Linked DNA regions of Drosophila melanogaster. The protein of the gene in region 3 purifies or fractionates together with the protein of the main gene of each other region. This does not show direct contact. Each region holds a gene or a part of one and is shown on either strand. Other genes may lie near its edges. The genes, in order: pbl, l(2)gl, par-6 and Patj.

The links.
Region 1: the proteins of par-6 (region 3) and pbl purify together in Drosophila melanogaster (affinity purification with western blotting; one study listed by BioGRID). This does not show direct contact.
Region 2: the proteins of par-6 (region 3) and l(2)gl purify together in Drosophila melanogaster (affinity purification with western blotting; 5 studies listed by BioGRID, with this or other methods). This does not show direct contact.
Region 4: the proteins of par-6 (region 3) and Patj purify together in Drosophila melanogaster (affinity purification with western blotting; 2 studies listed by BioGRID). This does not show direct contact.

Annotation. Positions count from the first base shown.
Region 1 is NT_037436.4:7,906,583-7,913,777, reverse strand, and holds the start of pbl (pebble), read left to right. Parts: upstream 1-1,823; 5' UTR 1,824-2,319; coding exon 2,320-2,356; intron 2,357-4,439; coding exon of another isoform or gene 4,440-4,617; intron 4,618-6,439; coding exon 6,440-6,656; intron 6,657-7,195. Other genes in the region: CG8281 (uncharacterized protein), read right to left, coding at 125-1,171.
Region 2 is NT_033779.5:17,671-24,658, reverse strand, and holds the start of l(2)gl (lethal (2) giant larvae), read left to right. Parts: upstream 1-3,282; 5' UTR 3,283-3,593; intron 3,594-3,685; 5' UTR 3,686-3,828; intron 3,829-4,638; exon of another isoform or gene 4,639-4,643; 5' UTR 4,644-4,714; coding exon of another isoform or gene 4,715-4,774; 5' UTR 4,775-4,779; intron 4,780-6,088; exon of another isoform or gene 6,089-6,398; intron 6,399-6,490; exon of another isoform or gene 6,491-6,633; intron 6,634-6,988. Other genes in the region: Ir21a (ionotropic receptor 21a), read left to right, coding at 449-730, 786-1,665, 1,724-1,916, 1,972-2,740. UniProt on the Drosophila melanogaster protein: Essential for the development of polarized epithelia, for cell polarity associated with asymmetric cell division of neuroblasts during development, and for oocyte polarity formation.
Region 3 is NC_004354.4:17,700,151-17,708,706, forward strand, and holds par-6 (par-6), read left to right. Parts: upstream 1-3,201; 5' UTR 3,202-3,500; coding exon 3,501-3,575; intron 3,576-4,221; coding exon 4,222-4,450; intron 4,451-4,517; coding exon 4,518-5,269; 3' UTR 5,270-6,946; downstream 6,947-8,556. Other genes in the region: CG8188 (uncharacterized protein), read right to left, coding at 866-1,015, 1,156-1,626, 2,051-2,059; CG8173 (uncharacterized protein), read right to left, coding at 7,485-8,062, 8,139-8,497.
Region 4 is NT_037436.4:1,796,084-1,804,021, forward strand, and holds Patj (patj), read left to right. Parts: upstream 1-2,719; 5' UTR 2,720-2,840; exon of another isoform or gene 2,841-2,870; intron 2,871-2,898; exon of another isoform or gene 2,899-2,926; 5' UTR 2,927-3,065; coding exon 3,066-4,616; intron 4,617-4,676; coding exon 4,677-5,741; 3' UTR 5,742-6,101; downstream 6,102-7,938. Other genes in the region: Cdc37 (cell division cycle 37), read left to right, coding at 95-754, 819-1,091; CG12020 (uncharacterized protein), read left to right, coding at 1,282-2,266, 2,331-2,446; JTBR, read right to left, coding at 6,152-6,610; CG42676 (uncharacterized protein), read left to right, coding at 7,127-7,244, 7,350-7,484. UniProt on the Drosophila melanogaster protein: Involved in cell polarity establishment. Probably participates in the assembly, positioning and maintenance of adherens junctions via its interaction with the SAC complex.

The DNA.
Region 1 (7,195 bases), on a different chromosome or scaffold from region 3:
AGAGTCATCTCAATATTATTTACAGGTTTATTTATTGTTGATTTTCATTGTTGAGCCAAATTGATCGCATTTGCCATTTATCCCTCGGCCAATAAAAACTTAACACTTAGTAACTAAACTAAAGTTAGAACTCCCTGATGCCCGCACTGGTGGTGGTGCTGCCCGGTGGCCCACCTCCTCCCCCGCTTCCGCTCGCTCCCGACACATTGGGCTTGGATTCGCTGGAGGTGTGCACACTGGGGCTCTGTGATTTGTCCTGCTCCTCGTGACCATTTGGCGTTTCTTCGTAGCGAACGTAGGGTTCGAAGCTGTTGTTGATTTGCACAGATCCGCGATGCAGATTGTTGGACTCGGCCTCGAAGAGAATCTCGTTGATGAAACGTTCGGCCAGAAGACGCTGCTCGCGCGGCAGTCGCTTCAGTTTGTGCGTCCAGGTGCGGGCGATGGACTCCTCCTCCGGATATGTGCCAGCCAAATACTCGCAGGCTATGTTGAGTAGTTCGTCGGTGTTGTGGGCGGTGCCTGTTGCCCCAGGACCGCCAGTAGATCCGGCTCCTGCTCCCGTACATGGCGGCGTTTGCCTGGCTCGCTTGCTGCTCCCATAATCCACATGGTTGGTTGCTGGCGGTGGCGGTGGCGGAGCTCCAAATGATTTGTGAAACATCTCGGAAATGTTGGGCGTCTGACCACCAGCGCGTGGTGCTGGATAATGGAGGGCTGCTCCCTGGCTCTCCAGAAACGCACTCGGGCAATTGCTGCTCTCACCGAAGGCGAAGTTGGGCTCGTTCTTAAAGGCGGGATTGACGGCTAGAAACTTCTCCGAGTTGCGCAGAAAGTCCAGCTCCTGAAAGGTCCAGCAGCGTGGACTGTGGAGGCTGCCCGATCGCAGGGCACTCTCCACCACCTTCAGCTCCTTGCGGTAGTTCGTGCGCAGTGTGTTGATCTTCTTTTTCACATCCTCCACGGTGGCGTCCCGCTTGAGATAATGGTATATGGGCACCAGGCGCAAATAGGCCTCCGCCCGCTTCTCCCGATTGGTGTAGTCCCGCAGCGATGTGTCCCACAGCACGGGCAGATCCCTGTATGTCTGGATGAAGGCGCGCAGATAGTGTCGGTTCTCCTCCGCTCCCGACATCACCTTCAATCCGTGCGGCGGCGTTTGTGGCAGCATTTTGCGCGGATCTCTGGATTACCCTCTGCCAATCCACGCCAGCTGCAGTCCTTGGCTATCTTCACCACTTCAGCGAATCCTGGATGGACCTATTGACCAACTGTCAATGCGAACGAACTGTGTTTGTTGTAATTGCGCGTTTGACAGATTGTTTGCCATATTGACGTAATGGTTGTGTGCGAGTGTGCGTGAGCGTGAAGATACAGCAACAAGTGCGGACGTAGTGGCAATGCTTGTCACTGGTATCGATACTTCGCCAGCAGTATTTATCGGTCAACTCGTTGTTATCAAGCGCGTATATTTAAACAAAGTAGCACAAAAGCAAGTAGTTTTAGGCATTCATTTATTAAATATATGAGCAAGCATACATAAAATTAACTGTAGCTTATATAGCTTGCATGAAAAATATGATTGGAGGCTACAACTGCAACAATAGTAGGATATTACCAAATTTAATTTATCGACAGGCCAAAAACAACTTAAACGAAGAAAACAGTTCTAATTGATTGTTAATATAGTGCAGCTTACAACTATTTTATAGCCATAGTCGTTTAATTTAGTTATATAGCATTACAGGGAATACCTTCAACCCCTTGCAAGTGTGACCATTATTTAGCGCCGATTGATTCTGGTATTTCGTTCATCACATTTGCGCGTATTTCTTGGCGCCCCCGCGACGGTTACACTGCGCGGCACACTACAGCGAAAAAAATTCGAAACAGACGCGTTTGTCCGTTGAGTTTTGATTTGTGATTCCGACGCGCAGCCGTTGAGCGCAATTCGCTTACATTGTTGATCATTTTGTTGGTTAAATTGCTAAAGCAGGTACGCGGTATCGCTAACAAGAGGACGAAGAACCGGGCGACGCTGCCTATGCGCGTCTGTGTGTGTGTGTTTTCGTGAGCCGCCGCTTTTTAATTAAATAATAAATAAATTGTAACAAAAAGTAGAAAAACAAACAAACATGGAAATGATGCGCGCTAAATGCATGAAAACAGCGTCCAGTTAATGAAAGTAAACGAATCGAGTACAAACGAATTATTTGTCTCCTTGTGCGTTCGTTCTATTGTGTTTCGAGTTCTGTTGGTGTGTGTTTTTGTGTATGTTCCACGAGTTGTTCGCCTTAAAAAAGTAACTGCAGAAGATCCATGGAAATGGAGACCATTGAAGAGCAATCGAAGTGCGGTGAGTACTGAAAGAGGGCGCGGGGCGTGGCAGCTCCAAATGGCCGGCGAATTTATCATTTTTCAATGTCGCCCAAAGGGGTTGGGTACGGGGTAAAACCACATTCGGGGCCAAAAGATCCTCATAAAAAATGTCGCTGCCAGCAAATGCAAAAAAATAAAATGAAATAACAACGACTATAAGTACATCTTTGTGTGTATTTGTGTGACTAAAAAAGCAACGGCATCGTGTCGCAGATATTTTAATCTTTTTTTCTGAATTTATTTCGGTGTAGAAAATATTTATCGCATAAATGCGAAATGCCTCCCTCTCTTCATCATCGTTTCCCCTCACTCTCCCTCTCTTCGGCGACACTGTACCGACAGCAAGAACAACAACAACAACTGAGGCGCCCTAACTGTTGTGAGAGTAAAAAGAAAGGACAAGCAACAACAATTTAAGCGATCAGTTCCTGTTATCATTGATGCGAATTCAGCCGTTTTTAGCCATGGAGTTGTAGCTATAAAAGAAAGTAAACAAGAAACTATCGAATCTTAAAAAAGTAAACAATTAACAAAAGATAGATTTAGGTATTGATGGGAAAGAGAAATCTCTGCTATAAAGTTTTTATTATATTTTTAACATTTTTATTTAACTAAAAACAAAATTGTTTCTAGGCAATTAAAATTGTTATACTTTCCATAAGCCTACGATTTCCGCAACGAGAACGTGTAACTGCAAATACCACACAATTTCAAAGGTTATTGCCTTAAAAAATACGTGTAAATATGTTGTACGGCAGGAATTTTTCCAGCGCGCGGCATAAACAAATAAAATTATCATTTAATGTATTTTGTGTCCGAATTTGAGGCGCAAATAAAGCATATATCAATTAAAAGTTTATAATTTGGTTAGGTTATAAAATCAATTCTCCTTTGATGTTATTTAGCCTTTAAATGTGCATATGTATGTAGATACTTTTGAAATCAACTCTACATGATATCTTTGTGTACTTATTCTGTCTGCTCCGCTCTAATACTTGCCGCCAGGTAAGAAGAAGAATTTATCCTGCTCGACAGGCTCTTCGCTCCTTCTACTTCCTCCTCTTGTTGCACAGAATCCTTGATCCTTGCTTTCCGGGTGGTTTACCTACCCCGCTGGCCGATTACCTCGTATTCCATTTACACATGTTGACAGGGCGCACATGCCCATACAACTATGACTATATAGCCTGTAGTCCGTGTTTTCCGTCCCTCAATGCTAATGGCATTTTACATGGCCCGCAGACCTTCGGAATCTGCTCTTCGCCTACGTCAAGGCTTCCGCGGGATACGTACGTAATTTTATTACAAGATTTTTCTTTGATGACTCTGCTCTGCTATTTGACAAAATCCGCTACACAGCGAGAAATTGGTTGATTTTATGTATAATTTAAACTTGCAGGTAAACTGAGGTTTTTTTTTCTAGAGATTTAAAGTAATTTTCTAAATATTATTCCAAAATTACAAAACGTCTTTCGTTTAAAACACAATTTTTTTACATAAAATATTTTATTTTTGGATTTCATTGTCACTTAAAAATGCTTTTAGGTCTAGGTCAAAAGCAATAGACACGAGAATTTAAGTAAAAATCAAAAATTGTCATTTTGGGTTAACTATGATTTCGCATAGGACATTTTTCGCTGCGTGGCTGAATGCCCAGAAACCCACACACACAGCCCTCTTCTTCCGATGGCTTTTCATTTCTCAGATGCCACTCAATTAGTTTTTCATCGTTTCCCTGGCAGGCAGCCAGCGAGGAAAAGTAGAAAATAAATAACAACAGCGGATTTTGTTCGGGCAAAAAGGAAGGAAATTCCCGAATGGCGAAAAATGGTGGCCGCCACCTGTGAGTCTCGGCACTTTCTCACACTCGGAAATTTTGCTTACCATTTTGCGTTTACCTTTTCTCCTGACCTCACTTACATACCTTCTTCTTCTTGTTTGAACCGAAGAAGCTACCACCTGTGGCCATGCAAAATGCGATTTCAGGTGTTCCCTCAGCCTGAGCTCGTCTTGCATTTAGTTATGTTTTAGAGCCCGATCCTTGAGGATCTGCGAACAAAATGTTACACTTACCGCTGGTGCAGTTCAACTTTGGCAACCATTTGGGCAAAAAGAGCAACAAAGTGGTCACGGTTCAGCGACAATCCGCCTCCTATTTCACATATGCCGCCGACGAGGAGGTCAAACAGGCGAAGCTTCGACAGGCCGCCTTGTGTCAGGTGTACGAGGATTTTACAGGTATTTCAAGATTCCCAGATAAACCCCTTCAGGTACTCGTTTCCAAGGGTTGAATATGCGCAAAAGCAAGAGCAACATATTCGCCAGAGGGAAACTTAAGTAGGGTAAAGTCTTTCGTGAATCATCCATCCATTCAGCCAGACCATCGACAAACACCTGGGAAAGGTGCAGGAACAGTAAAAATAACTATGTATTTCATAAATAAATATATTACTTTCCGAGGAAAGCATTCGATGTCATGTTAAGGTGATATTGATTTAAATGCCAGTCAAGCAATTCGTGGAAATAATAAGGCGCATTAAACTTAACAATATGTTTCGTTTAATAGCTTAGAATGCATCATTAAAGAAATTGTTCATATAAAAAATTATTCGCAGAATTAGCATATATGACTTTTCATCGCTAAAAGCCTCTCGAATTGAATAAATCAAACAATTTTTTTCACATTTAATGATGTGGACATTTGTGCGTTTTAATACCCATATCAATCTTCTACAAATTCTGAATTCCCATGGAGCACATTCCGTATCACTGGTTTTTATTGGATTCCACATTCCAGTGATATTCCTACCTTATAAACATTTTGTTAGTCCATAAATCGCCACGATTTCCATTAGGTAAATTGCATTGTTTATCGCTTGTTTTGGGAATGCATATCTGGAATATCTATTTGAAAATTCCGAGACGTCAGAGATGAGAATACGACACGAACTGTAGTTCTTCCTCAGCATTTTCCTGGACTTTGTTCAATTGCACAAGTGGCGAATGTCTCGCCAGATATAGATACAAGTGTATATAGATGCAATTGGCATCGGTTACAGCTGCACAATTCTGGATAAAATTAATGCAACAAAGCCGACCGCCGTCAGTGGTCTCCACTTGCTCCATGTGGTTGTGTCCATGTCGATTGGGGGTAAATGATTTGCACTTGAAAACATTCCCCATTCTCCATTCCCCCAAGTCCATTCTCACTCATTTCGAATACTCTACTTTCGCTGCCTGTCAAAAACTATGGCAATAACGAAGGTCGCTTCATTTCGGCGTCTAAGAAATCGGCACAATTAAAATTGTTGTCAACAGCTCGCAATTTGGCAGCTTAATGCTGCGGCTTCTGCTGACCAGGCCCCCATCCGCCATCCGCCATCCGCCATCCTCCATTCTTCATCTTCGATCTGTAGTGTACATGTTTACTATACATCCTCAAGGGGTTCTATTTTGGTTAGCCGCTCTGCTCTGTTTCCTCGCATTTCTTTGTTTTATTTTGCACAGTTTTCCCTCGATCTTTTACCCCCTCCCCCCCTCCCCCTATTCACAGCACATTCAATTGCATAAACAAACAAATCCAAAAAATAGCCATTAATCAAACAAAATCTTTTCTCCAGTCGCCTGTAAACAGAAGCGAGTTGAAAGTAGTGTATGGGTTGTTGAAGGGTCACACGGATATCGAACTGTAATTAATTATGCTGCCAATAAAATATTTATTTTCTTAGCAGTTTGTTAAAATTGATTTTGTTGGGAAACATTCATAAATCACAAATATTTTAAATAAGCGGAAAAATACTGTATTTTGGCCTAAGAATAATGTGTGTTAAATTTTCGCATTGGTTTTTATATTGTGATAGTCTAGAGTATTTTATATAATGTAAGATTGAATGGAAAAACCCCTTTTTGATCGACACCTATGAACGGCATATTTATTTGCTTGATTTACGCCTGACATGCACTTAACCCCATGCCATTGGTCATTTCTGATTTTTGAGAGCACACAATGCATGTTTCTGATTTTTTAATGACTTATACCCATTCATTTCGCCCCATCCAGAGATGTCCATAACAACGCTGCCCACGCGCATCTGCCTGGTGGGAGGCGTTGGCCAGGATGCGGACACGCTGCAGGCAGCCGAATCCTTTGGCCTGCCCATCGTTACGTCGGACACGGGTCTGGACATTCTCGGAGAGTCGTCGGACTGGCGGACATTCTACGTGCTGGATGACTTCGAGGGTGCCAGCTTCGAGGCGATACACAAGCAAAAGGAATGGTGAGTACGATTAGAACCTATAACTAGTCACTGGTACTAATAATAACTCGGCCAGAAGCTGAGGAACAATAAGGCTGCTTAATTTAGACCAAATCTGTCACATGTGTCCAGCTGTCCGCCCCCACATCCTTCTCCTTACTGTACAACCCACTTTTCTCTTCTTTCTGGCTATGAAGAGATGCCTGAACAGTCAAGAGCCATTATCACATCGCCATGCTGAGCCGCAGCAAATTGAGTTTGAAATCGAGACACACGCACGAGTATACTACCTATCTTCGCTCCAAGAGCCCCAATGTGGATCCACTCGTTGGCCACCAGTTTCAAGATTGACAGCGTCAGCCATGCGCCAGATATACCACACGGCTCCTCTGCCCGCTTCCTTCCGATTGCATACCCTTCCTCGGGGTATTTGAATTGGGTAAACAGTGTAGTTTGCTACAAAACATTTCGATTTGTTTACACTTTCGTATGTATTGCGTGGAAAGAAAGTTACGATTGCTCGATGCCCATAAACTCATTTGAAGTAGTATCTTTCAGCA
Region 2 (6,988 bases), on a different chromosome or scaffold from region 3:
ATTTTTTATCAATATAGGTATTTACATGTAATCTGTACACCTTATGGACCTGAACTGGGCGATAGCCATATCAGGCCATATCGTATCCGTATAAGCAACAGACATTCGTTAGTAATCGTGTTTAAATAGGTTCTCGCAGATATATCAAAATTATATAGCATAAAATCATTAGTTACATCATTTAACAAACATTCGCTGCGTCTTTGTTTTTGGAATGTGAGTGCTTAATCTCAAATTTCTAGCTTTTATAGTTCCTGGGATTTCGACGTTCATACGGACCATATCGACTTGGCTATTGATCCTTATAGAATCAATATGTATGTAGAATGTATATACTTTACATAGTCGAAAACGCTCCCTTGTACTTGTAACATTTATTTTAAAGAATCTCGTATACCCTTTTACTCTACGAATAACGGGTATGAATACAATTTTATTTACTTTTCAGACTATTCCTATTACTTTCTACCACGGGGAAATCAATGCAGACTACGAAGCAAAAAATAAACGTTTTACGAGCCATATAGATTGCAATTGCAAAAGCTACATTCTTTTCCTTTCGGACCCATTAATGACGCGAAAGATTTTAGGCCCGCAAACTGAAAGTCGTGTAGTTCTTGTCTCAAGGTCCACCCAATGGAGACTTCGTGATTTTTTGTCTTCGGAGCTATCCTCAAACATTGTAAATTTACTAGTTATTGGGGAATCGCTCATGGCTGACCCGATGCGCGTGAGTATTGCTTAATAGGGATACGTTTTTGTAACAAATAATGCGCTTCACACAGGAGCGCCCATACGTACTCTACACCCACAAGCTCTATGCAGATGGACTTGGCTCAAACACTCCGGTAGTGCTAACCAGCTGGATAAAGGGAGCTTTGTCACGTCCACATATAAATCTTTTCCCATCGAAGTTTCAATTTGGGTTTGCGGGACACAGATTTCAAATTTCAGCCGCAAATCAGCCGCCGTTTATTTTTCGAATTCGCACTTTAGATTCCTCAGGAATGGGCCAGTTGCGTTGGGACGGAGTTGAATTTCGTCTGCTGACAATGATATCTAAGCGGCTAAACTTTTCGATAGATATCACTGAGACCCCAACACGGTCGAATACGCGCGGGGTAGTAGACACCATCCAGGAACAGATTATAGAAAGAACAGTAGACATTGGTATGTCCGGTATATATATAACACAGGAACGGCTGATGGACTCAGCCATGTCGGTGGGGCACTCACCCGATTGTGCAGCTTTCATAACACTTGCATCGAAGGCGCTGCCGAAATACAGAGCCATAATGGGACCGTTCCAATGGCCAGTCTGGGTCGCTCTGATTTGCGTTTACCTCGGTGGAATATTTCCGATAGTTTTTACCGACCGTTTGACACTTAGCCATTTAATGGGTAATTGGGGTGAGGTAGAAAACATGTTCTGGTATGTATTTGGCATGTTCACAAACGCTTTCTCCTTCACCGGAAAATACTCGTGGAGCAACACGCGGAAAAATTCCACACGCCTTCTAATTGGAGCATATTGGCTCTTTACAATTATCATTACATCTTGCTACACAGGTTCCATCATAGCATTCGTAACGTTGCCAGCTTTTCCGGACACCGTTGACTCTGTGTTGGATCTGCTGGGATTGTTCTTTCGCGTTGGAACCCTGAGTAAGAAAAGGTTAGGCTCGCTACATTTGTATATAATATTTGGGCTTCTTACTTAAAGACAATGGTGGCTGGGAGACCTGGTTCCAGAACTCGACCCATATACCGACGTCTAGATTGTACAAGAAAATGGAGTTTGTCGGGTCCGTAGATGAGGGCATTGGCAACGTTACCCAGAGCTTCTTTTGGAACTATGCCTTTCTTGGCTCAAAGGCTCAGCTCGAATACCTGGTGCAGTCAAATTTTTCAGATGAGTAAGATCGATCCTTTATTTTTAATCTTCCCACCGTAAACGATATCCTCTTTTAGAAATATTTCCCGCCGATCGGCGCTTCATTTGAGTGAAGAGTGTTTTGCTCTTTTCCAAATAGGATTTCTGTTTCCCCGAGAGTCAGTGTATAAAATCAAAATCGACTCGATGATATTACTTGCCCAGCAAAGTGGTCTTATTGCAAAAATCAATAACGAGGTAAGCTGGGTCATGCAGCGATCATCTTCAGGACGCCTGCTCCAGGCAAGTTCTTCGAATTCCTTACGCGAAATAATTCAGGAAGAGCGCCAATTGACTACAGCGGACACAGAAGGAATGTTCCTGCTCATGGCACTGGGCTACTTTCTAGGAGCCACAGCCCTGGTATCCGAGATCGTCGGTGGGATTACCAACAAGTGCCGCCAAATAATCAAGCGCTCCCGCAAGTCGGCCGCCTCCTCTTGGTCGTCGGCGTCAAGTGGGTCAATGCTTCGCACTAATGCCGAGCAACTTTCCCATGATAAGCGAAAGGCCAATAGACGCGAGGCTGCTGAGGTTGCTCAAAAAATGAGTTTTGGAATGCGCGAGTTAAATCTTACCCGCGCAACGCTTCGGGAAATATACGGAAGCTACGGGGCACCTGAAACAGATCATGGTCAGCTAGACATCGTCCACACTGAGTTTCCAAACAGTTCTGCAAAATTAAATAATATTGAAGACGAAGAATCTCGGGAAGCTCTTGAATCTCTGCAGCGTTTAGACGAATTTATGGACCAGATGGATAACGACGGCAATCCTTCCTCACATACATTCCGTATTGACAATTAATCACAGAAATTTTTAAATGCAAATACAAAATAATCACTTTAGTGCACATGAAATTATATGTATTGAAATAAAAAGTTTGATGCAACAACAAATTTTACAGTTGTTTGGTATTTTGTATGGGAAAGTTTGTGGCAATATATGGTTTTACTTGAAAGCGGATTGGACATGGTCACACTGCCCACAAATCACAACATTGCGTTATAAATGAAGCACATCTAGTTTTGTGTTAAGAAAGTGGTTCACAATTTATATAGCAGGTTATGGTAAAACATCGATCGTTCCGAAAAATTCCGCTCGTTGGCACATTTTCTAAATTTTTCGTGCGACAGCGGTGATTATTATATGATATTATTATGATTATATATACAAAAATTATTATAATTATATAAAAGTTGGCGACCATATCAAAAAGGTTGCTATAAAAACAAATGGCAATTTATAGCGGAGTTTCACTCCCAAAGCGATGTTCTCCACCCATTCCAGTCAGTCATGGTAAATATACCTTCTAAAAAATATATGATTTTTTCGATAGAGATACACGGGCACACTAGACCCACCGATCGCGACTTTGTGTGTGTTAAAATGACGCGCATATCGTTTTGGGCTAATAATATTGTTCACGTTTTATAAAACAGATACACGGTTAAGCTCTGACCGGTCGTATTATTATCTGTGTGTTCTTGGTTGACACGTTTATTTCATTTATTCTCATTTAAAGCAACGATGTGAAGAACAGTGCGGGCGTTTCTCAACATAAGAATACATACAAACTTATGCGTGATGGTGAGCAAATAAAATAGTTCAAAAAATTACTCGGCCACCGCCTTAACCGTACAAACGGAAATACATAAAGGTAAAGGGCTCAACAACAGTATTACTGATTAGGCAATTGATTTATATTTCAAACTTCTTAAATAAAGTGTCCACAAATATGTATGTTCTTAGCATAGAGGCGTAGTCGGTGAGTCAGCCACGCCAACAGTTAACAGTCGTCATTTTGCTGTCTGTCTAACACGCAATTTGTGTGTGTATATGTGAATAAACAGATACCGGTATGCAATCGCAAAGCTGGTCAACTGTAAAGATCGGTATGTACTCAAAATTAGGTCATCACCTTGTTATGCAGATACATTTGGGAAACAGTTGACTTACTTGGTATTGGTTATCAGCCGAAAAGCAAATGGTGATACGGTTTTGCACCTCAGCTTACTCACGGATACATACCTACGTACATAAATGTATGTATACGGTATACAGTCTTAGAAAAAATATTAGTACCGACCAGCTAGCGTTTGCCTAAAACGCTTTTACAAAAATAAACGTATATGTTTTAAGTTGTTTTTTGTCCTAATTAATACATTTATTATTATTTATTTATGAATTTTAGAGCTTTAATAGTAACTAAATTGTTTAAACAAACTTTAAAAAAGATTTACAAATAAAAAAATATTTCGTGTGCGTGACGGAATTGCTAGTTCATTAAAGGGAGGTACATATGTACATACATACACATTGCAAAGAGTACAGATCGCTCATCATTTCATTTTTCCTAATGTACATATACATATGTACAAACATGTTTATTAAACTGCCTACATGCAAATCTTTGAAGTTTTAAGAAAATAAGCACAACTAGTTTGGAAAATCTTGGGAGCCAAGATCTATCTGTCCACTGATTTTCCTATGACTTCAAGAATGTAAAACCCTTTTTGTTAAACAAATTTTGATTAAAGTATACCAGAATAATATTAAACGTATCGTCCGTATCTATAAAAGGTATTAATAGTATTACCTAAATTTAAATTCTCGGTTTTATTCATAAGAGTGAAAAAATATACAAGTTCCTTTTTAATTTTTTACTTATTGAAAATTTGATTAATTTTTATTATTATTTTCAGTTTAGAATAAATTCGGCCACAATTAATATACTTATTTATTCATCAAAACCAAACCACCACAAGAGCATAACCAATCATGTTAAAGTTTATCAGAGGAAAAGGGCAGCAGCCCAGTGCTGACAGACAACGCTACATCGTAAGGTAAAACAAACAATTTTCTCTTTCCGTTCTATTTTTTTTTTTTTAAGTATTTGTAGCCGATTGGTATATTTTGTGGGGTCATTTATTTTGATCTTGGGTGGTAAATACATTTTTATGGAAGTTAGAAGAAAGCTTATAATTTATGAGGAATAAATAAATACCTCCTTTTGAATCTTTTGTTATGTCTTCTCCTATGTGCATACTTTTGGGCATTAACATTTAGGTAAATTTTTTCCACCGCAACTACAAGTAAACCGCATACACACACAGTATTTTGTAGACTCGCGCCACAAAGCACCGCATAAAAAAGGTTACGGTGCTTTTTTGCTCGTTTCTTTTGTGCACTCCTTCTATGCGGTGCCAAATATGAGGAGGTACCTGAAGCTTGGTTGATTTTGTGAGTGTCTTTTTCCACAGCATATTTTTGTGTATTGGCTACTTTAAAAATTCTATTATATCGTTGTGCTCGTAATGTTGTCCATTCCTTTTAAATATTTTCGAATTAAATATACCATAGATGTTTCCCTATTACCATAATAGTTTAATAAATATACGTATATGAAATTTTTTTTATCCTATGTTAGTATAAACATGTTATTCAACAAATAAAAGTAGGTCAGAGGTAATCGCCATCCAGCTCCAGAAAGAGGGGGGAGCTGATAAGATTGCGTTTATGTACCTAATGGGTTGGGTAAGTGGCTTGGTTTCACAAACACCCTTATTTCAGGTACAAAATAAGTATGTCATAGACGGCGTAAAATTGATAAGATTTTAAAGTCAAAAGAAAATGAGTTTATTCGCCTGTAACTGCGTTAGAAATCCAAATACACCCGCAATATTATATGTATAGAAAGAAAAAGTTTGATGCAACAACAAATTTAAAGTTGTTTGGTATTTTGTAATGGAAAGTTTGTGTCACTAAATATGGTTTTACTTGAACGCAGATTGGACATGGTCACACTGCCCACAAAATCACGACATTGCGTTATAAATGAAGCACATCTAGTTTTGTGTTGAAAATGTGGTTCACAATTTATATAGCAGGTTATGGTAAAACATCGATCGTTCCGAAAAATTCCGCTCGTTGGCACATTTCCTAAATTTTTCGTGCGACAGCGGTGATTAATTACAAAAATTATTATTATAATTATATAAAAGTTGGCGACCATATCAAAAAGGTTGCTATAAAAACAAATGACAATTTATAGCGGAGTTTCACTCCCAAAGCGATGTTCTCCACCCATTCCAGTCAGTCATGGAAAATATACCTTCTAAAAAATATATGATTTTTTCGATAGAGATACACGGGCACACTAGACCCACCGATCGCGACTTTGTGTGTGTTAAAATGACGCGCATATCGTTTTGGGCTAATAATATTGTTCACGTTTTATAAAACAGATACACGGTTAAGCTCTGACCGGTCGTATTATTATCTGTGTGTTCTTGGTTGACACGTTTATTTCATTTATTCTCATTTAAAGCAACGATGTGAAGAACAGTGCGGGCGTTTCTCAACATAAGAATACATACAAACTTATGCGTGTTGGTGAGCAAATAAAATAGTTCAAAAAATTACTCGGCCACCGCCTTAACCGTACAAACGGAAATACATAAAGGTAAAGGGCTCAACAACAGTATTACTGATTAGGCAATTGATTTATATTTCAAACTTCTTAAATAAAGTGTCCACAAATATGTATGTTCTTAGCATAGAGGCGTAGTCGGTGAGTCAGCCACGCCAACAGTTAACAGTCGTCATTTTGCTGTCTGTCTAACACGCAATTTGTGTGTGTATATGTGAATAAACAGATACCGGTATGCAATCGCAAAGCTGGTCAACTGTAAAGATCGGTATGTACTCAAAATTAGGTCATCACCTTGTTATGCAGATACATTTGGGAAACAGTTGACTTACTTGGTATTGGTTATCAGCCGAAAAGCAAATGGTGATACGGTTTTGCACCTCAGCTTACTCACGGATACATACCTACGTACATAAATGTATGTATACGGTATACAGTCTTCGAAAAAATATTAGTACCGACCAGCTAGCGTTTGCCTAAAACGCTTTTACAAAAATAAACGTATATGTTTTAAGTTGTTTTTTGTCATAATTAATACATTTATTATTATTTATTTATGAATTTCAGAGCTTTAATAGTAACTAAATTGTTTAAACAAACTTAAAAAAAGATTTACAAATAAA
Region 3 (8,556 bases):
TGTGTGTCCTTTGTGTATCTTATGCCTAAGCAGGACAATTGAATGTAACGAATCGAAATTTTATTTATTTATGAACTAAGCGAATACAATTTTAAAAACACACAAAAAAAAAAAAGAAATCTAAGGGGTAAGTTTATGTTTATGAACGGGGGTCCAATACGCGGACTCACCCCAAATGAGCGATTATAGTGCTCATTAAGGTATGTGTAAGGTGATGCTTTCTAGAGAGTTCTGGGTGTTTAAGAGGTGGCATGTATGAGGCGATAATGTTATCCTTGTTTTGTTTAATCTAATTACATAAATTATGCTAGGATAGCCCATGAGCGTTAAGAAAAGAGAACTACATAAATTAATTGGGTGATGGTTGCAATCCCCATTTCTCTTGGTTGCTTTATGTTGGTTTTTGTTTTCTATATTCTAGGCTCAGTTGAAAGCGGCGTGCCACCAAAAATGTTGGTTAAAATAATCGTATATGGTAACTGGATGCACTGTTCTTTGGAGTGGTTCTTTATCTCTCTCGTTTTACCGAAATTGTTGCAGCTTTAACTTCCGTTCCGTTCCGATATTGGCCTCCAGGGTTCGGGTTTCATCGGTTACTTCGTAATTTCAGTAGCTCAATTTACTTGTTTTTTTGTCTGTTTTGTTTTTTATCAGATCAGTGTAAAATTTCATAGCGCGCCTCCTCCTTTGATTCGACCTTGCTAGCTTTGATCCTGTCGCCTTTCACCTGTTTGTAGGGTTTACGCTCGCACTCATCCATTCTTTAACATCTATCCATTCATACGTATCCGACGTGTTCTGCTACTGCTTACTACTTACTGCTCCTGGTTGATTAGCTAGTCCATGGAACTCCGCCTTATGCCTCTCATAATCTCTTCAGCATGCGTTTCTTCTCCTTGAGCAACTTCTCCTTCTTCTTGTCCTGCAGCTTCTTGTCCAGGCCCGCATGCTTCTTCGTCGAGGGTCCACCATCGTCTTTGGCATCGCCAACAGCGCCTACACCGCATTTGGCAGGCTAAAATAAAAGATATACATATGTATGAGCTAAGTGTGTAAAGCAGCGTGATAAACAATATCATATTGGGATCATTCAACACCTTATGCTAGTATTCCAATGATACACAATCATAACAGAAGGGAAAACCCCTAATTTACCTGGGCATGGATCTCTGTCATCATGCGCGCCCTCTGTGAGTAGTCATCGTATCGTTCCAACAGCATCTTGCCGGCCTCCTCGTTCAGCGCCGATTCCGGATTCGGGACAATAAGCAGGCATTTGATGGTGAGCAGAATGTGCTTGATGCCCAGATCCGGCTTCCAGTCCTTCTTTAGTGTGTTCACACAGATCTCCCCGTTGGCGGCCACATTCGGATGAAAGATCTTGGTGAGGAAGTACGCCTTGGGTGGCGTCAGCGGGAAGTCCTTGTTCAGCGTCAGTTTGACGCGGAAAATTCCAGCGGCGTACGGAGTGCCAGCAGGTCCATCGATCAATGCCTGAATATCCGTCACATCGCTCTCATTGATTAGCACCTTGATGCCTTCCGGTGGCGTGGTTTCCATCTCCTGCAGCTCCCTCATCACCTGCCTTATCGTCTGCGGCGACAGGTTCTCCACATTCGAGTATTGCTGCAAATGGGGGAATGGCATTAGTATGGAATGGCAAAAGTTTATATATACAAAAATTGATTTTAATGACAGGGTTGAGTCATTATTTCTAGTTGGAATTGTACTTATTGGAACATACGAACTTTAAAAATGGATGGCAAGTACAGTACAGTACTTGTAGGCAAGGATTATTACATACAAACTTAACTAACAAAATCACATGTCTCCACAAACAGGGTATTTATTAATGAAATTCATACTCTTAGTATGCTGGAAAGTATTTGTAAGGACGCGATTTTAAGCTCTCACTACTAAACCATTCATAAGATTAAGAAGCATCTGTTGGATAGGATTCTTTACAATCACGGATACAACTTCTTAAGAATCGTTTCGTATTATTATTATTAGAATGCTAACAATTATGTGAGGAACATGCTCATCCTACCGAACTCATGATGTCTGAATTTCCTGCTGCTGTGCGTGTGTGTGTCTGTGTTGATGCGGGCCTGCGCTGGTGTGCGTGCGAATCGCTGTCTCAAGGTTTCAGTTTCGTCAGCTTATTCCTGCAGCTGAGCTCTTCGGCTCTCGGATAGTCGCAATTTCACCGCCTTTTCCCAGCTGCCTTGGAAAAGTGGTCCCAAAATATATGAATATGTGCGTTGTGGGCTGGCTTTAACTATTCCTTTGCGTGTAGACTCCTTATGCTTCCTTTGGCCCCGCTAGTCTCCTTGTCTGTTGTTTGGGTTTATGTTTTCACACGCACTCGTTTAAAGACTATATATATATATGTATTTGGTATAGCACCTCCTCTCGAAAATCTTGATTTTTAGTTTTTCTAGCGACTTAAAATTTTGTTTCGTTGGTTGCTTTTGTTTTGAAATCGATTCGCTCAACTTTGTCGTAGCTGCTGTGTGACCTATCTCGACTCTGGCGTTCACATCTAAACAAATTCAGTTGTCTAATTGGACACTTCACGCTCGACAACAACACACAAAAACAGTTTCATTTTACAGTAACCCTCGTCGCTGGCGCTGCGCTACAATTGGGGCATATTCGTGCTGGCGTCTTGCCTGCCTTCGATTTAAAAGCGGGTTTTTATTTATTTATTTAAAAAACGTCTTTGATTAAAACTGAGCATTTAAATATAGCTAATTCTTGTCTTGTAACAGTTAAGCCTCTTTTTTCGTGCAAACAGCAGCCACTTTGCAAATGTAGCGCATCTGAAGATCCACCCAGCCCACACAAACAAACTGTCTCTACACTAACGCAGCAACATGGCTGCTCAGACTCTATCGATATATCGATATATGCACAACATCGGTTCATGCCTAAGTTACTCTGGGAAATATTTAAAAACAAACAAAGAACATACCGTTATTAAAAAAAAAAACTTATTGTTGTGATAAATTCAAAACCTTTGCTAGCTATATTGAAAACAAATTATTATTATTTCTAAGTCTTTTTAGATACTTTCATTGTTGTTTAAATCTATTGCTTATAGCATATTTGTGGTATTTTAGAAAACTGAAATGGTATATTTTGGTTTTGCATTCCCCACGGTCACTCTGGATCTATTACCATCCGATAACCGATAGTGCCTACCAATATCGAAGTACGATAGTGCCCGATAGGTTCATCCATCCATTTTTTTTATTTAATTAGTTTTAATTTAGATTTCTAACTCTAATTTATTGGCGGCCCCCCACTATCGTCGCTCCCCGCCATCGGTACGCTGCACTTTGGTTCGGTTTCGGTTCGCATCGGGCGTATCGGTTCGATTTCGATCCTGAAGATCAGATCAGAATCTGCGGAACTCAACTGCCGTGTTTTGTGTTGTGTGTGAGGAACGGAGAGGAAAACTGTCAGTGCACTCTTGATCGGGCGGATCGGAGAAAATGTCGAAGAACAAGATAAACACAACGTCCGCAACGGCGGCCAGTGACACGAATCTAATCGAGGTGAAATCGAAGGTGAGTCCTAACTTTCGTGGCCCCCGGATTCCACGCCCCTTTCTGCGGCGCTGAGCTGCTGATTCATGCGCTCAGGAATGGGATTAATAGCTTAAATTGGAGTTCTGTGCGTGGAAAGGGGGTCTTTAGTCTGAGGAGCAATGTGTCTACCAATTTGGGAACTCCTATCTGTTGAGCTCGATTGTGTCAAAGCGGCCAGAGCAGGGATTAATGCTTGGAGTGCGAGGTGTGAGGAGCAACTGGTTTCCATCTTAGAAGCACCCCAAAAGTGACAATTTGCCCTTGCGAATGCATCTTACTTGTCGGAATTCCTGAGCTCTGATATGGATTGTTGCAACACCCTTTATTGCTTGGGCTCTTTGCCTGAAAACCAATCTGTTGCGCCTTACTCAAAAACTACCCTGTTTCGTTCATTTTCTGTAATTTTACAGAGAAGGAAACTTCAGTTATTAATTAGTCAAGGTACAATTCTTCAAGATAAACTCCAGTAATAGCTATAAGGCAGTAGATGTACTGCAATTCAGTGAAGGTCCCATTAAATTAGTAAAATGTCTGCATACAATTGAATCAACAGGTGATGCTGATGAACAAACTATACGGGTTTCAAAAGATTCAGCCCCTTTACTAATCAATACGTATCCTTTAGTTCGATGCAGAGTTTCGGAGGTGGAGCTTCAAGCGAAATGAGGCGGAGCAGAGCTTCGACAAATTCGCATCCCTCATTGAGCAGCTGCACAAGCTGACCAACATCCAGTTTCTCATACTCTACATCGATCCGCGGGACAATGATCTGTTGCCGATTAACAACGACGATAACTTCGGCCGGGCCCTGAAAACAGCACGTCCACTTTTACGGGTCATTGTGCAGCGAAAGGGTGAGTATGGGTATGCATAAGATACAATACGAGCCACTCAACCACAATCTTTTCGTTCACTCTATAGATGATCTTAATGAGTACTCTGGCTTTGGAACGATGAAACCGAGAAACCTCATCGGCAGCATACTGATGGGCCATACGCCAGTGAAGACAAAGGCGCCATCGATATCCATACCGCACGATTTCCGTCAAGTCTCGGCCATTATAGATGTGGATATAGTGCCGGAAACGCATAGAAGAGTGCGGCTACTGAAGCACGGCAGCGATAAGCCCCTGGGATTCTACATACGGGATGGCACCTCTGTCAGGGTGACGGCCAGTGGGCTAGAGAAGCAGCCGGGCATTTTTATATCCCGTTTGGTTCCGGGCGGTCTGGCCGAAAGTACTGGCCTGCTGGCCGTCAACGATGAGGTGATCGAGGTAAATGGCATCGAAGTGGCTGGCAAGACTCTGGATCAAGTCACCGACATGATGGTGGCCAACAGCTCCAATCTGATAATCACCGTGAAGCCGGCCAATCAGCGCACACTGACGTCCACACATCGCGGATCCTTTTCAAGGAACAGCCAGCTGTCCAGTGGGTCACATCACACTAATAATACAAACACCTCCGACGAGATCGAGCACGACGATCAGGACGATATTGTGGACTTAACGGGCGTCACCCTCGACGAGAGTCCAACGTCCACGTCAGCCGGCAATCACAACCATCAGCCGCCATTATCCTCATCACCCTCGTCGCACCACCAGCAGGCAGCCTCCAATGCGTCCACGATAATGGCCAGCGATGTCAAGGATGGAGTGCTGCATTTGTAGGATTAACCCGGCGATACAGCACCTCCAGCAGACGCAGCCAGAACTTAAGCAACGGAAAACGCGAATTCATCGCTGAGAAGTGCAGAGGATTTTCAGTTTATCAGACTTAACTTTCCTTAAGATCGAATAAGTTCGTTAAACTCGAGTCAATTATTTAAAGTTATACAAGTTAGGCCAACTTATTCACATGTACACTGATCGCTTGTATATCGCTCACTTACTAAAGCGACTGTCATAGCTCAACCAGCCATGATTTGAAAAGTCACCTTATAAAATCTATTGGTATTAGCCTGAAAGCCTGATTGATTGAGTAAACAACATATCGGCCATATCCCATTCATTTCTTGTTAATCCTGGCCATTCAAATTTAACGTTCTGCAAAATTTCCAGTCCGATTGTAGGTGAGCAATATATAAAACACGATTGTATATACATGTGTAATCATCATACGACTTTCCTCCATACATTCCACGAAACACTCAAAGTCAAAGAAAACACACCTATTCATTTGCACGTTTTTGAATGCAGTCTCTTGTTTTTATCTTTTTTCCTGGCATATATATATATGTGTATTTAAATTTGTAAGATTTACGTCTTGTTATTATTCTTGCTTGTTGTATTAGACTAGAGTGAGACAGCTAGAGGAGAGAGTGAAATAGAGAGAGGGCATCAAATGCTGAAGGCAGATCAATTTATTTAACTTAACCATTTGAAACGGCAATAATTGTAACAAAATCACATATACGAGCACGAATAATTTATAAAAAAAAAAAACATTCCATTTTATGTACTGTGACAAGTCGGAAAAGCCTAACAAAATTATATTTCCTGATTTGTAAGCCTTGTTTTTAATTTGAGCCGATCATTTTGCGTATATCTGCTATGTTTTGTTTAGCTCAATTTCTTATTTTTTCGGCATTACTCATTATATCTGTTTATTTTAAAAACCATTTGTAATTTTTAACTTTTGTTTTTTCGTCATTGTGTCCAATACTCGTCCAAGTTCTTTGTTGTCATTGTCATCACTTAGAGTTATGGAGAAAGGATAGAAAAACGAGGAGATAAAGTTAACAAAACGTTAAGATACAAACGAAACACCAACAGCGCCTTCGCCTTCAAGAGAGCAATTCGATACTTTTTATATATATACAAGAGAATATATAAACGAATACAATCTATGTTATGTACGTACCCCTGTACACACAATTGAATTGAAGTCTGTGTATTCGCTTTAGTAAAATTGAGAAAACGCCACTCACGGCAGATGGGATGCAATGCGATCTGCTCGACTTGAAGTTAACAATATTAATATTTATGGGTCGCAACGGGCATAACTAACCCCATACGAACGTGTACCCTGGGTAGATAGCAAGATCTAGGATAGACAGCAGCGAATCTGAAACTATAACTAAATGCGTATCGCCGCCCAACCACTCCCCTCATATACCCATTTCACATATACCCTTGCATTATCGAGAAATCTGAACTTACATCGAACAAAAGTCGCCAGAATATCCCGATTTCCAAGCAAACGCATGTATATATATATATATACAAAAGCTAATGTGTATTCCCGCTAAGCAACTGAAAAGACCGAAAAGCAAATCACGAAAGAAAACCTTATATTTTGATGTATGTATTATTATTTTTTAATAAACCTAAGAGAACTTGTAACCGATCTGGTGTGTAATTGGTTTTTTCCTGGGAGGCTATAGCAAAACAATGTAAGTTTATTGTTTATATCACAACCAATTCGAGGCGTTAAAGTATACAAAAAAGTTAAAAATGATATTCGGTTCCTGCATTTATAAACGAAAAAATTGTTTCCCTCTGTAAGCAATACTTTTCAATTCAACTGAATTGCTTTCACTTATTTTTAGCTTACAAAAATCAATTTAAATACATTAGCCGGGCCTTAATCAAAAAAGATCTTACATATACCCTTTTGAAGACTGCGAATTAAAAAACCAGTTAACGATATAGTTTTTGTTCCATTTGGGGATTCGATTTATTCGACCACTCTTTTGCTTGCTGAATATGTACAATTTGCTTAAGTGTGCATTCGCGTTTTGGGGCTTTAACCGTAATTGGTTTGTTCTTACAGGGTAAAAATTATAGCTAATTAATTGTACATTCAAAACAAAAATGAGTCATCTAATCAAATTATATTCAAGAGGAAGATTGTGGAGTTCGGAGGCTGAGAATGATTATCAGTCTAATCGCTTTCTGTCGCAACATTTGCGCCATTGTTCTCCAGGCACTGCCAAATGGTCTTGGCCGCTGGACGATCCTCGCTGAGAGCATTTGTGCACAGATAAAACAGCTCCACGACGCAGTTGTAATCGTCGCTAAGTTGAAAGGCCACTGGCAATGGTGGTCGTGTACCATAGGCGGAATGAAGGTTATTCAGTGTAAAGTAAGAGATATCGTTCTCCTTCGTGTCATCATCTTCTTCATCGTCTTCCTCCTCCTCTTCCTTCTCCTCCTCATCATCCTCCTCGTCATAATCTTGACTCATATCGTTGTCTGTGTGTTCTTCCATTGCAGAAGGTAGTCCGTTCTTGTTTTCATCGCTGGAGAAGTCCAACTGTTTGCACTGCAGCTTGTCCGTGTCGGTGGGTAAATCGTGCGAACTGTCCATATCCTCTCCCAGTGCTGCATCAAGCTCCAAGGTATGTGGAGGCACCAAAGCAAGGGTTTCGTAGATAACCAGGCCAAAGCTGAATATGTCTGCCTTGCTGTCAATAACATCCACTTCGTCTATGACCTCCGGTGCGCACCAGAGGTTAGTTCCTAAAATATTAAGACATAAGTGGTTAATTTGACTGAATGTGAAATTATTTATATCATATGGGGTCAGTAAACTCACCCACATAGCGCAGTCCGGGATTCTTTAGGAAATTAACCTCGCCCTGCTCGTCCAGCGGAAGAGAGACTCCAAAATCGCACAGCTTACAAATCTCAAACTCGCCTTTGACCAGGACATTAAAGGACTTAAGGTCGCCGTGCATGAGGTGAGCTTCGTTGTGAAGAAAGTCTAGTGCCTGGGCCACGTCCATGATCATCTTATAGGTATGTTTGGCCGGCAACGGGCCCAGATCCTCGTCGTGTCGCTCCTCGAGTATGGAGCCCAGTGAAGTGGTGCACATTTCAAGTGCCAGTGTGTTGATGCCCTCGTCATTGGTGATAACGCCACGGAATCCCACGATGTTTGGATGCTTCAGTTTGCTGTAAAGTCAAAAGGTGCTGTTTATAGGGGGCAATTATTACAGCAATCCTGCGTAGTG
Region 4 (7,938 bases), on a different chromosome or scaffold from region 3:
TTATTCTTATTGTCAAGCTTATGATTGACTATCATCCTAAGTGGCCATCCATCTTTCATCGCAATGCTTAATCCCTAATTTGTATCGCCTACAGAAAGAGCTCGAAAAGATCGAGGCCGAGGGCAAAGAGCTGGACCGCATCGAGAGCGAGATGATTAAGAAGGAAAAGAAAACACCCTGGAACGTGGACACCATCAGCAAGCCCGGCTTTGAGAAGACCGTAATCAACAAGAAGGCCGGCCGCAAGCCGGATGAGAATCTGTCCGAGGAAGAGCGAGAGCAGCGCATGAAGCAATTCGTCAAGGAGAACGAGAAGCTCTGCCAGCAGTATGGCATGCTGCGCAAGTACGACGATTCGAAGCGGTTTCTGCAGGAGCATCTTCACTTGGTGGGCGAGGAGACGGCCAACTACCTAGTCATTTGGTCCATCAACCTGGAAATGGAGGAGAAGCACGAGCTGATGGCCCACGTGGCGCATCAGTGCATTTGCATGCAGTACATTCTAGAGTTGGCCAAACAGCTGGACGTGGATCCTCGCGCCTGTGTCAGCTCCTTCTTCTCAAAGATCCAGCACTGTCATCCCGAGTACCGCGCGCAGTTCGACAGCGAGATCGAAGGTTTCAAAGGACGTATCCAGAAGCGTGCGCAGGAGAAGATCCAGGAGGCGATAGCCCAGGCCGAAGAGGAGGAGCGCAAGGAGCGCCTCGGACCTGGTGGTCTGGACCCAGCCGATGTCTTTGAATCCCTGCCCGATGTACGTTCTAGTGATTCACTGTATGGGAATTACTTGACTAACTTTTCATGTATTTGCTCCGCAGGAACTAAAGGCCTGTTTCGAGTCCCGCGACGTAGAGCTGCTGCAGAAGACCATTGCGGCCATGCCCGTGGACGTCGCCAAGCTGCACATGAAGCGTTGTGTGGACTCTGGTCTCTGGGTGCCCAATGCCGCTGACTTGGAGGGTGACAAGAAGGAGGAAGATGACTCGGATGACGTCGCCGGTGGCGAGGAGAAGACCGACGATGCCAAATCAGAGAGTGCAGCCAAGGAGGAGCCCATCTACACTGGCGTCAGCACCGAGGACGTTGACTGATCGCCGCCACGTTTCCATCTACACCATAGCTCTAATCTTAATGTATTTGTCCACAAGCATATTTCATCCATAGCCAGATCCTGCGTCAGTTGAGTTATTGTATATAATTTGAATAAATTCTCAGTCACACGTCAAACATTCTGTGAACACTTCTGCCAGTTGTTATACGCTTCGACTCCGAATAGAAACAATGAACCGGCCGGAGCTGGACTACTACGCGGTGCTGGATCAGCCCAGAGGCGCCACCAAGGAGCAGATTACTCTGGCCTACCGCCGCCTGGCCATTCGGCTTTGCCCACATCGCGACAAGAAGGACGAGCAGGACTTTGTGCCGCTGGCCCAGGAGGGTCGTCTCACGCACCTCTCACCCATGGGCGAGCCCAGGCAGTGGGCCTACGTCAACATGGCCTTCGATGTGCTGGGCAACGATCTGTACCGGGCCATATACGATCGCTTTGGCGAGGCGGGTTTGTTCGAGGGCGTCATGCTGCCGAACGGATACTTTCCGCCCTATCAGTACGACGGCGACCACATGAAGGTCTACGAGCGGGTCTTCGGTAGCTACTCGCCGTATGCCAACGTGATCGATGCGATCTCCAATCCACCGAGCTTGTACGCTACGCGCCAGCATGGCATTGGCGTGCGTTCCAAGGACGCCAGTACGGAGAGGATCATCGAGCTGTCGCTGGAGGAAGTACGCACTGGCTGCGTCAAGCTGATGAACGTGTGGCGCCAGGAGATCGTGGACGCCAAGGAGTCGCGGCTGGAGAAGCGCAAGCACACCTTAAAGCTGAACATTGCCCCGGGAACTACGGCCGGAACTCGCTTCTGCTTCAAGGAGGAGGGCGATCGCTATCCGGCCACCATTCCGGGTGATATTATTTTCATTGCCGCCGACAAGCCGCATCCGGACTTTGAGAGGAGAAACCAACACGACCTGGTCTACAGGCAGTCTATTGGCCTGTGCCAGGCCTTCACCGGCTTCACGTTCTTCATTTGCACGCTGGACCGGCGCCAGTTGAAGGTGGTCATTACGGACGTAGTGCAGCCGGGATACACCAAAGTGGTTCCCCTCGAGGGACTCCCCAAGTGCCGCAATTTGGATGCAGTTACGGCCATCAAGGAGGCCAACAAGAAGGTGGAGCAGTTCGGGGATCTCATTATAGAATTTGATTGTGGGTTTTCCTTTTCTGTTGGAGGTTTCAATAGTTTCTGATAGTTTCTCTGTTTCTTCTGCAGATATCTTTCCCAAGTACTTGACTCCACATATGAAGCATATCACTCGCGAATTCTTCCGCGAATTCCGCAAGCTCGAAATAGAATTGGAGGAGGAGGAGGAACGTAACATGGTTTGATGGCAGACACCTTATTGTTTTTCCGTATTTGGAACACAGATATTTGTGCGTACAGAGAAATTAAATTCAAAATTTGCGTTTAAAAGGATAGATGTTGTTGGGTTATTTCGTATAGCCATATTACATACGAGCACATGCAGACTATATTCAAAAATCTTAGATTTAATTAAATTAGCAGATGTAACGGTCGAATTTGAATTGATTTTGAAAAGGTGGCAACTGTTCCGATTATGTCGATTGCTTATCGATGCACAACGCAGCCGCTCGGCAACCCTGTCCATCAGCTGTTTGTGAAAAGAAAATGCATTTGGCATTCCATTTCAGAGATAATTAAAAATCAATTACAGCAGCAGCAGCAGAGCAAGTGGCCACCGAAAAGAGTGCATAGGAGAGGGTAAACAACTCGCTGCATCCAAACGGCACAGTAACTGATCCGAAGCTGTCCCACTTAGAGCCCAAATCGAATTACCCGTTTTGCAGTTTAGGACAAAGTGTGCCAACGCCACAACGCCCCCACCCAGAAGTCCATAGAAACGCCAGCGGAAGTGGGATAGAGACGGGGACCACGCTCCACTGACCGCACCGCGCACCGCTCGCTGACCACGCCCACTGACGCAAGATGCACCTCAGCGCGGATATTTCCAGCGCCCTTCAGCAGATCGAGGCAGTGAAGAAGGGCATCGATGAGTCCGACGACCCCAAGCTGCAAATGCAGACGGCCGAGAGCCTTAGCACCATTCTGGGCATTCTGCAGGATCCCGTTTTCCGCACCATCGTCCACGTGCAGGACTCGTTGTCCGAGCTGAACGCCCAGCTGGCTCAGCATCCGTCCATGTTGCCCAACGACTTCGACATCGATGTGGCCGGCAACCTTGTACTCAGTCTGAATGGTGGCGAGGTGATGTACGACTTTGACGAACAGCGCTCTTCCTCGCACTCCCATTCGGCTCCGGGCAGTCCAGATAAGTCCGGAGGCGTCGGCGAGGAGCCGCGCCCGCAGAGCCAGAACTCCAAAGGAGCCGGAGTGGCGGATCTCTACGCCACGGACTACGCTCAGATCCAGGCCATAGAGCTGGTCAACGACGGCACGGGTCTCGGATTCGGTATTATTGGAGCTCGCAACTCGGGAGTGATTGTAAAAACCATCCTGCCGGGTGGCGTGGCCGATAAGGACGGACGCTTGCGCTCGGGCGACCACATCCTCCAGATTGGAGACGTCAACCTGCACGAAATGGTATCCGAACAGGTGGCTGCCGTGCTGAGACAGTCTGGAACCCACGTCCGCCTAGTGGTTGCCCGTCCCGTTGAGCAGAGCGTGCCTACGCCCCAGTACGCCCTGGAACCGGGCACTGCTGTGGTGCCCACGCGCGTCCTCGTCGATCCTGCCGAGCTGGAGCGGTACCTCATATCTACCGGCTATCCGGAAATCTTTGGCGAGAGCTCCACGGCCTCCACTCCGCAGACCACCACGGAAGACGATCGTTTCGTTTATCGCGGCGAGACATCAATGCTTATTGATCCAAACATCGACCTAGAGGAATTGCTTGCCCTTCCTGAAACGGAGAAGCTTCAGGTGGAGCTGAAGAAGGATGCCAACGGCCTGGGCATCACAATTGCCGGCTATGTGTGTGAGAAAGAAGAGCTGTCTGGCATTTTCGTAAAGAGCGTGTCGCCCGGTTCAGCAGCGGACCTGAGTGGTCGCATCCGGGTCAACGATCGCATCATTGAAGTTGACGGCCAGTCGCTACAAGGCTACTCCAACCACCAGGCCGTAGAGCTGCTTAAGAAGTCTGGTCAGGTGGTGAACCTGCGCTTGGAACGCTACCTGAGGGGCCCCAAATTCGAGCAGCTGCAGCAGGCTATCGCTGCGAATGACAAGCTTCCATCCAGTGCACCTGGAACGCCTTCAAGGGCTCCCATGCCCACGCCCGTGGCCACAACGTCCTCCGCCACAACTACACCATCACGCAGCATCACTCGCGAGTTGGAAGAGGAAGCCTTACCAGCGCCAGAAGCATTCATGACCACTCCGCCGTCGGTCACCACAATGACCACCACCACATTAAGCTCCTTTGGAGCGGGTAAGCAACTAGTAGCAGTAAGGGACTCCCTAGACGGCTCCACGAAGATCATACCCACGGAAGTTGTACCCTTGGCGGATAAAACGGAGGTGAGTATTAGCTAACGGGTAACACAGCAGCAAAACGTATAGCGCATTAACATGTTTTAGGCCAAGAACAGCGGGGTGATCACCCGTCACAAGTACTACACCGATCCGGAACTGTCCGACGACGCCGAAACCGAAATTATTCGCAAATGGCAGAAGATTGTGGGCTCCGATGTGGAGGTGATTGTGGCCCAGATCAAGAAGTTCGCGGTCGGAGGCTTGGGGATTTCCTTGGAGGGAACCGTGGACGTAGAAGGAGGGCGCGAGGTACGACCCCATCACTATATTCGTTCAATCTTACCTGATGGACCCGTTGGCGTGAATGGAGTACTCCGCTCTGGCGATGAATTGCTGGAGGTAAACGGCGAGCGGTTGCTGGGTATGAACCACCTGGAGGTGGTGGCTATACTTAAGGAACTGCCGTTGGATGTGCGCATGGTTTGCGGTCGCAACAGGAACAGCTCGCTTCTCCCATTCTCTGATGACACCCTGAAAAAGCTAAGCAACAACTTTGAGAACCTGCTGCCTGCTACCGATCGTCTGGTGAAGGCCAAATCAGATGGTAGTCTGGCCACCGCGGGCTCCGTGGCCGATGGAGATTCAGTGGCTGCCGCCGCTGCTTCGTTTAGTAAGCTGAAGTCGCGCTCCCTGGAGCCACTAACCGGATTGGCTATGTGGTCGTCCCAACCGCAAATTATCGAGCTGGTCAAGGGCGATCGCGGTCTGGGCTTCTCTATTCTGGATTATCAAGATCCGTTGGATCCCAACGATACGCTGATTGTAATCCGTTCTCTGGTCCCTGGAGGGGTGGCTCAATTGGACGGACGCCTTATACCCGGAGATCGACTTTTGTTTGTGAACTCCATTAACCTGGAGAACGCCTCGCTGGATCAGGCAGTGCAGGCTTTGAAGGGTGCTTCGAAAGGAGTGGTGCGCATTGGTGTGGCCAAACCACTGCCCATGACGGACAACTCACTGAAGGCTTGCAGCAATGCGAGCACCACCAGCGAAGAGACCTTGGACGCCCAGCCATCGCCTCCAGCCTTGCCCACAGTTGCTCCGCCCGCCATGCCGCCTAGTGCCTCCATGGGAGCTGAGCCCGACCTGATTCCCGACTGGCGGAACTAGGGTGTTACGATAACGAAGAATTTCACACATTCCAGGCATTTGAATCTTTAAGCCTGTTTTAAATCAAATCAAACGCGGTTGCTAACTAATGGATTAGTTAATCGATATTTTCTACGAATATGAACAACAGGCAGTAGAATCTGAAACGATGTCAGAAACGATGCCAGAAGTACAGGAGCGATTGTTATTACCGAAGCAAAATGTTATGCATATTATTAACGCCGAATTGTGTTTGTCCCCTGAAAACAAGCATTCCACAAGTATGCAATATATTAAACCCCCTAGTATTAGCAAATGAATTTTAACATGGTATTTCCAGAGTGTATGTACTTAAACTAAATTAAATAATGTACCTTCCGTACGGTCAATGAGTATCACTTGGGGAAGGGAATCGATGATTTGGCGGAGGGCTATTGGACCCGGTTTAGCTGTCGCTCGATTCTCATGTAGTTGCGCCTGGACAGGACTCGATCGCGGGCATAACTGACCAGGTAGCTAAGTAATCCGATTACAAAGCACGAGACCTCAAATTTCAAGAAGTTCATTTGCTCGATGAGCGCCACCCGGTCGCAGCTCCTGGTTACGATCTCGCCGCTCTGGCAGCGCAGCACCTCCTTGTAGTGCGTGTGAATGCAGACGCCCAAGCTCCGGCTGACTATATCGAATTCGGAGCACGGGTGGCACTCCTGCACCATCGTGTACTTCTCATTCCGCCAGCAGGTCGAGTTGTCCTCGATCACGAATTGCGGCTCTCGGCGACGAGGACCATCTGCCGCGTAACGAGATTCCACGAACAGGACGAGTATGGTGACCATCGTTAGGGCTCCTAGTCCAAGGAGCATGTGGTGACGCTGACAGTTCTCGAGCATTGTGAAGGCGGGCAGCTAACTCTTGTATCGGATCAAGTGCTGGAAACAACCTGGAAGAACCTATGCATGCTCAGTAGGTGGATAACTCCAATACATATGGACGGGATTACTCGAAATCCTATTGCTTTGCTTTTCCCCCTATGAAATCAGCTTTACTGTGTGACCAGGCGAGAGTTTTTATTTTTGTTCAGCCGTCTTTGGAACTAGTTCTTGCTTGGCATTTAAGATTATATATTAAAAAAAAATTGAATTTGCACATGCATAGATTTCGTAATTTAGATAAAGCGTTAAATTAAGGGAGAAAATAATATTTTTCGAGGAAATCTTATAAGCCGCGTATTCCGCTCCGATTCGCGGAACTGCAGATGTGTGGCCAGACTTCGGGGAGCTCGAAACTAGTTCGCTGTTTACGAACGACAATAAACGGAGACCAAAACAATTACGGAGGACAAGCACAAAGCGGACTTGAGAAATTTGTGAAAATTTTTATAAATCGCGTGTGTGGGCGCTTTGAAAATGGTGCTGCGATCGGGAATCATAATTCCGTTTCAGTTTCGCGACACGAAGAAGCTGCTGATGATCGGGGTGCCGCAGGAGAACCGCGACCTAAACATATGGGACCTAAAGAACGTGGGTAAGCACTGGTCTGGTCGGAGAGGGGGAGGTGGCTCAAATCACGGAGCCCCCAAGCGATTTGGTCGCCAAAAATGAAATATGTCTAACAAATCCCGCTCCACAGTGCGCGCCGCCTTCGGGATCTACAACTTCGAGTTCCGGAACAAGAAGATCGGCTTCAACATCCCGGACGAACTGCTGCTGCACTATCTGGCCCAGAGGCACGACCTCACCAACTTCGTTATAGAGATCAGTCAAGGTAAATAGCGTTTAAGTTACGGCTAAGTCGCGTTTCAATTAGCGTTTAAGCGTTCGAGTGACTGCGGGCCACCAAAAGTCGCGATTTCGCGGAGTTCCGGAGTTTCACAGTCAAGTCTTGTTTGTAGATCAGTTGTGTTTATGTAGACGATGCGTGCGCTTCGCTTGTAAGTCTCTGCGATTGCCATCTGTAATAAAACCCAAATTGTAAAATGCTCCCTCTTGCAGCTCTGGACGATGGCCACGCCAAGGAGATGCTCTCCTACGAGCCCTCATGCTCGATGGCGGTCCTGAAGCACCACCCTCATCAGCACCAGCACCACGTGCCTCTGCCGCAGCGGTCAAACGAAAGCGCCTCGCACCACGCCCATGAATATGTGCCTGACTCCCAGCCCACCTCTCCGGCCCTACGTATGAGTTCTGAGGCGGTGGACTCGCCACTGGACCAGCAGGGC